Canis lupus familiaris: one gene and its partner. The protein of the gene in region 1 interacts with the protein of each later gene in a biochemical or structural test. Links are inferred from orthologs where the notes say so. Each region holds a gene or a part of one and is shown in the gene's direction. Other genes may lie near its edges.

Region 1 (3,186 bases):
CGGATGCTCAACCACTGAGCCACCCAGGTGTCGTGGTTTCTTTTATTTCTTAGCAGGACATGAAATCATGTTTCTCGGGATCCCTGGGTGGCTCAGCGGTTTAGCACCTGCCTTTGGCCCAGGACATGATCCTGGAGGCCCCGGGATCAGTCCCACGTCGGGCTCCCTGCATGGAGCCTGCTTCTCCCTCTGCCTGTGTCTCTGCCTCTCCCTCTCTTTCATGAATAAATAAAATCTTAAAAAAAAAAAAAAATCATGTTAGTGTCGCTGGCCCCTTCGGTCTCCTGGATCCCCAGGGATTTCCGAGTGACTTTTCTGGGCGTCTCTGTTCTGTTCCACAGGCTCCTCTCTGCTTCAATTGCTCCATCCTCCCCGGAGACACGTCCCCACGGGACGCGGGGAGCCTGGTGCCCTGCAATGGCAGTCGGGCGTTGGGGCTTTCTGACCCCGAGGACTTAAACCTCACCGACGAGGAACTGAGAATCAAGTACCTGGGGCCCCAGCAGACAGAGCTGTTCGTGCCCATCTGCATCACGTACCTGCTGATCTTCGTGGTGGGCGCCGTGGGCAACGGGCTGACCTGCGCGGTCATCCTGCGCCACAAGGCCATGCGCACCCCCACCAACTACTACCTCTTCAGCCTGGCGGTGTCGGACCTGCTGGTGCTGCTCGTGGGCCTGCCCCTGGAGCTCTATGAGATGTGGCGCAACTACCCCTTCCTGCTGGGCGCCGGGGGCTGCTACTTCCGCACGCTGCTCTTCGAGACGGTGTGCCTGGCCTCGGTGCTCAACGTCACGGCCCTGAGCGTGGAGCGCTATGTGGCTGTGGTGCACCCGCTGCAGGCCAGGTCCATGATGACTCGGGTGCACGTGCGCCGTGTCCTCGGAGCCATCTGGGGCCTCGCTGTGCTTTGTTCTCTGCCTAACACCAGCCTGCACGGCCTCCAGCAGCTGGAAGTGCCCTGCCGGGGCCCGGTGCCCCACTCGGCTGTGTGCACCCTGGTCCACCCCCGGGCCCTCTACAACCTGGTCGTGCAGATCACCACCCTGTTCTTCTTCTGCCTGCCCATGGCCACCATCAGCGTGCTGTACCTGCTCATCGGGCTGCGGCTGCGGCGGGAGCGATTACTGGTGCTCAGGCCGGAGGCCAGGGGCAGGGCCGGGTCGCGCGACAGCTGCAGATTTCCGGGCTCGCAGGATCGGGGGCGGACACAGGTGACCAAGATGCTGTGTAAGTGCTGCTACCGGGAAGAGAGGCGGGGCCAGACCCTGGGGGGTGAGGCTAGAGCTTCCGGGACCTGGGGGCTGAGGGTCTGGGTTTCCGATGGAGGCTGAGTGTGAGGTCTGGAGTTACCCCCCTCCCCCCGCCCTGTGTGTGTGCACGCACGTGTGTGATTACTCTCTGAGAGACTCGTATCAAAGATAAATGGCAGTATGGGCCACATAATTTGTGGGGGCTGAGGCAAAATGCAAATTTGGGGTCCCCTGTTCAAAGATCATTATGACTGTCCAGAGAGCAATAGTCATTAAACTAAGCCCAGGGTCCTTCTAAGCTTGGAGGCCTGTGCAGATGGTGGCAGAGGGTGGCTCACCCATGCAGCTGGCATTGGCTCGTGGAATCAAACTCACAGACTGGGCAAGGGCATGTGGCTGGCTTCTGGGAGGGCAGAGCTGTTCGTGGGAGCTGGACCCTACAGGTCTCTCATCTTTGCTCCTAAACATCTCTTTGCTCCGAGGCCAAGGGCAGCCTGGGAAGCATAGCCATGGGCACAGAGTTCCTCTTTCTTGAGGAATGGCCCTCTTCTCTTAATGGCTGTTGAAACGTCCCAGGTAAGAATTCTGATTGACAGGCTTAGGTCATGGCCTGCTCCCAGGCCAGAGTGGCAGGATGCCGAGGTCTGTAGCCCCCACACGTAGACTCACATGCTGGGATCTGGGGGGAGCAGAGTTCCCCAGAGAAGGCGAGCAAGGTGTTGGAAGGGCAAGATGATAGGTTTCCTCCATGTAGTACCTGTGGGTCCTCGAGGACCGCGGGGATGACTGTTGTCTAAAAGAGGCTCATCAGGAGGTGTGTTTGTGAGGGTCAGTGTGCAGAGCACAGGAGAGTCAGGGCAGAGGTGTGGATGGGGGCAGGCCAGCTGGGTGGAGGCTCTGGGTCTTACTCTTCTCTAGATCCGGCCCTTTTTCAAAATCAGAGGCTCTGAGGAAGCCAGACTAAATGACACAAAGCCAATTCACGATTTCCTCCTCAACCTGACCCACCCTCGCAAGGCCTGAATCAGGTAGATGGACTGAGCCAGGGCAAGACAGAGGTAGTGAGACCTTGGTCAAAGCCATGGGATTATAGCCAGCTCACTGGGGACTGCCCTATTCCCAGAAAGAGACCCATTCTTCTTGTGCCCCAGTAAGTGTCCCAAAGCCAAGGCCACTTGTGCAGCTCCCTAAAGTGGACTGACCCCAGAGTTCCAAGCTTGCCTTTCAGCTCTGCCCTGTGAAGCCTGCCCTACAGACCCCCTGCCCCCTCTGCCTCTGCCTCCTACTCCTTTGCCCTGCAGGTACCAAGTCTGCTCAGCTGGGATGGCCCTCACCCTGGGAAGCTGGGGTGGTTCCTTCAGGGATGGTGCCTGGCTTGCTGGCCTGGGGCTCTGGCCTTCTCTCCCTCCCTCCCTCCTTCCCCCCAGCTTCACTTTCAGAGGGCCATGGGCTGGGGATGTGGGCTAGGGATGTTGTAAGCAACATCCTGATGGAAATCCCAGATGATGAGGGAAAACCGTGCTGGGGTGTGGTGGGGAAGGCACGGCAGGGGAAGATAGGCAGTTGGAGAAGCAAACACAAGAGATAAGAAACAAAAATCAAGGCAAGCCCGATGACAGGCATGACTGGTTGACACTACAGCTGAAGGGAAGCTCTGGGAAGCTGGGTGACGTCTTAGCTAAGAGTCACCTAGTTCCAGACTCTTGTGATGGGAGAGCCAGACTGGGCCAGCTTGGCTCACGCGCCCACACCTGGTCCAGTTGACTGTGGCTGGGAGTAGGGCAGGGGCCCACTGCCCAGGCAGTGACAGTGGTGAGACCAGCCTTCCTGAAGGGCGTGCTGAGGCTAGGGTGGGCAAACTTCCAGAACCTTCCAGATGGACAGTGGGCGTGGGTGGCAAGGTGAGAATGACCAGACTACCGTGAAGCCCAGG
Region 2 (4,011 bases), on another chromosome or scaffold:
GCCTATAGTGCTTTGCACAGTGCATTTCTAGTGCATTAAAATCCCCAGCTTAGAGAAGAAAGGTCTTCGCAGAGGGGTCTCTCCCACAGGCTGATATCCTTGGGCAGACAATTTAATCTCCAAGTATCATCAGTATCATCAAATAAGCGTCATAATAGTTTTACCTTCCAGAGATGACATGAGTGTTAAATTAAATAGCAGGGGAAGATGTCCCTTAGGAAATGTTAATGTACTTCCTTTCTACCCTTTCCTCTGTGTTGCTTTCGTAAGGAGGTCAAATGAGCTCAGTCTTCCCTCTTTCAGTAGAAGGAAATTAAAACAGTATCAGCCAGTGTCCTAGAGAGGCTGCTTCCTGGACATTTCCACTTAGGAAGTAAAGGAAAGTATGGAGGGGGATGGCAGAGTTCCCATCACCCTAGAAATCAGAAAGCAACAGCTAGGGGGAGGGACCGCGGGAGAAACGCATGGAAAAACGAGCAACCTTGGGAACACATAGGATAGCCAGAGACCTTCCAGACCTATTGGAAATGTATGTGTGGTCAAATCCCAGCAATCCTTTCTCCTCGAGCTTCTTCAACAGATAACTGCATTTCCCTAAATGATCTCAGATCTTGCAGGAATTGGGGGAACACCAGGGTCACCACTGGTACTCCGGTACGCACCGGGCTTGAGCTGGGAGCTGGGGACGAAGGAAAGAGCGGGACAGAGGTGCTTCTGCGGAGGTGGAGGTGCGCACAGTGGGTGCGGCAGAGGAGGCCTTCCCGAGAGGTGCGCCAGGGGCGTCCCAGGACCCCCCCCCACCCCGCGTAAGAACCCCGATCCCGGCCCCTTCGGGCCTCCGGGCTCGCGCTCCTTCTCCAGCCCCCGCCCAGACCCTCTCCGAGCAGGGAACGGACGTGCACTGGGTCGTTTCCAGGCTCATCCCCGAGCCCCGGGGCGGCCGGAGCGAGAGGCGCCCTGAGTCACGACAGTGGCCGGGGGCGGGTCCCGCCGCGGGTGGGGGCCGGGGGCGGGCGGCGGGTCGCGAGTGACGCGACGGAGCCCGGGGGCGTGGGCGGCGAGCTGACGCGCGTGGGGACCGCGCCGCCCCAGCCCACGTGTCCGCCAGATTTAAAACTTGGCGGCGGAGCCCCGCGAGCCGCGCGTCCGGGACCCGGAGGCACTGCCAGGGCCCCGCGTGCCGCGCTGAGCCCCGAGATGCCCGCAGCGGCCGAGATGCCCGCGCCGCCCCCGCCGCCGCCGCTGCTGCTGCTGCTGCTGCTCGCCTGCTGTGCGGGCACCTGCCCAGGTGAGCGCCCGCGCCCGCCGTCCTGGCGCCTTCCCCGGGCCACCTGCCTCGCTCTCTTCCTCCCTTTCTGCTGTCGGCTTGGGGGGGGGGGGGGGGCTCCCCGGCTTCCCGCCTCTGACGACCCTCGCGCGGCGCCGCGCACCGGCCCCCAGCCCCGCAGGTCCCGCGCACCTGGCTGGGCTCCCTCACGCGCGGGACGTCCGTGGCCCGCGGACCCGGGAAAACTTGAACGAACGAACATGCCGAAAATTAAAGTGCGTTCCCTTTCGTGGCAATGACTAGCCGGATTGATGGCTAAAGCCGAACTGGACTTTGACACCTGCCGATCACCTGGCGCTGCTGCCGGTGAACTCGGGAGAGCGCCGCTCTCCTTTAGGGAGTGAGCTCCTGTTGCGTTCAGATCACCCCGAGCGACGAAACAGGCCCCCTTCTGGCCCTTTAGAAGGGGACGGGGGTGCGCTCGGTGCCTTTCTAGGTTCTGACGCACCAGGTCAGGAAAAAGAACGGAGACTTTCTTTGTATCACAGAGTTGGAGAGGCAAGTGCGCCAGCCGGGCTTTCAATCAGTGCCGCAGCGAAAGCCAGTGAAGGCAGATGCCATCTGATAAAATAGGGATTTCCAGTGCTTGGCTCAGAGAAAAGAACTGGAAAAAGCAAAATCGAGGTCAGGGAGGGATGTCTGCAGCTTGGGAGACGAGGTAGAAGGAAGCCCAGTATGTTCCAGCGGGGAGATCACTCCCCTATTCCCCAAAGATTACCTGGAGGGATCCATCCTTTGCCCCCCACCTCTGATCCAGAGTCCCCTCCAGGGCCAGCCACTATCCTGCCAAGACTGAATCTTCTAACTCCACAGCAGGTTCCCTTAGCTTCCCTCTGCCCTCCTGGCGGTGAGGCAGAGGTGCGCAGACCATGTCATCACTGTTGAGAGCACTGGGGACTTGAAACCGTAACTGCAGGGGCCTTTCAGAGCTTGCAGGCCAGCCTTCAATTAGAGGTGGAGAAACTGAAGCTATTCTTTTCCAATATATTTATTTTTATTGCTGTCCTTTTATCATTTTTGGTTTTTTGGCCCCTTTCCTGGGGGTATTGGAGAAGGAGGTGGGGAGGAGCTCTCCTGCTTGCAAAATGAGGTCATTTGGCTATGGAATGTTAGCAGTCCGAAGCTAGACCTAAACCTTCTCCATCACATAGCCAGCAATGCTACAGCATAACCTATGCAAGGTAGTGTTAATATTTTAATGTTTTTAATTTGTTTTTGGTAGAATTAGGGTGGCAGTCTTTATCTACCTTGTTAAAGAAGCAGATGATTATAGTTTTAAAAGTGTCCTTTTCTCTGTAAAGCAAATGTACCTGCTATACATGTTACATGCTATATGATTACAGTGATATTTGGATCGGTGGGAGATAACTGCTTTTTTGAGAAATGGGGGAATTTTCAGGCTGCTGGTGATTAAGCAGAAACTGTAGAAGGCCTTTTTTTTTTTTTTGGCAAAAGACAAGTCTTTTTTTTTTTTTTTTATTGGTGTTCAATTTACTAACATACAGAATAACACCCAGTGCCCGTCACCCATTCACTCCCACCCCCCGCCCTCCTCCCCTTCTACCACCCCTAGTTCGTTTCCCAGAGTTAGCAGTCTTTACGTTCTGTCTCCCTTTCTGATATTTCCCACACATTTCTTCCCCCTTCCCTTATTTTCCCTTTCACTATTATTTATATTCCCCAAATGAATGAGAACATATAATGTTTGTCCTTCTCCGACTGACTTACTTCACTCAGCATAATACCCTCCAGTTCCATCCACGTTGAAGCAAATGGTGGGTATTTGTCATTTCTAATAGCTGAGTAATATTCCATTGTATACATAAACCACATCTTCTTTATCCATTCATCGCAAAAGACAAGTCTTGGGTTTTATGTTGAGAAAGAATGTTTCTGCTGGCTGACCAATCATCTCATAAACATCCCCAGTATTTCTCAAGCAAACAGACAAGATGCCTTTTCCACTGCACAGAAACCCCCTAGACTATCATTTTGTATCTTTTTCCCCTTTAGACCTGCTCTTGATATTGAAAAAAATAATTTTATCTCTCTAAAGATGTGAGGGAGAGGGGAATGAGTGAACATAGTATGATCTTCCCTAGTCCTGAGTCCCTAAAAATGGCATTGGAAGGGAAGCATGACATACATAATCAAAACTGGGAGATAATCTATGAAGATTAATCATTATGCAGGATGTAACTGGATGTATCTAAAAACAACAAAACAAATATCACAAAGCCGTAGGAAAATAAAATAGTGTCAAAAAGTGGAGCATCCTTGGCAAAATGAGTTAGCAGAGCATGCAACAGCAAGATAAAGAGCCAGTCACAAGTCTGGTGGATGGAAACAGTTTACGATTCAAAGAGCATCATTAAAATAAAGAAAGAAATTTTCTAAAAGAGGGAACATTTTGGATAACTGCAACAAACCTTGATTTGGCTTGTGACAGTAAGTGATCAAAGTGCCCAAGACTAAATTAAGAAGGGTTTTTTCCTACTCAGACCCTTGCTCTTTGAATATGTCTTAAAATTCAGACTCCTGCTCATTGACTATGTCTTAAAATTCAGTCAGTAGTAACAATTTCTCACTTTGGAACCCTACACTAGCTAAGTGCTAGCAACAAGGAAAGAAAATTAGCACCACTTTTAGAATAATTAAGTCTGGGGATGCCTGGGTGGCTCTGC

Evidence for each region.
Region 2: the proteins of NMUR1 (region 1) and NMU form a complex in vitro, tested with the Homo sapiens proteins (2 studies listed by BioGRID). The link is inferred for Canis lupus familiaris from reciprocal best matches to the Homo sapiens genes NMUR1 and NMU.

The regions. Positions count from the first base shown.
Region 1 is NC_049246.1:43,581,374-43,584,559, reverse strand, and holds part of NMUR1 (neuromedin-U receptor 1), read left to right. Parts: intron 1-341; coding exon 342-1,230; intron 1,231-3,186. UniProt on the Homo sapiens protein: Receptor for the neuromedin-U and neuromedin-S neuropeptides.
Region 2 is NC_049234.1:48,653,477-48,657,487, reverse strand, and holds the start of NMU (neuromedin-U), read left to right. Parts: upstream 1-1,168; 5' UTR 1,169-1,197; coding exon 1,198-1,288; intron 1,289-4,011.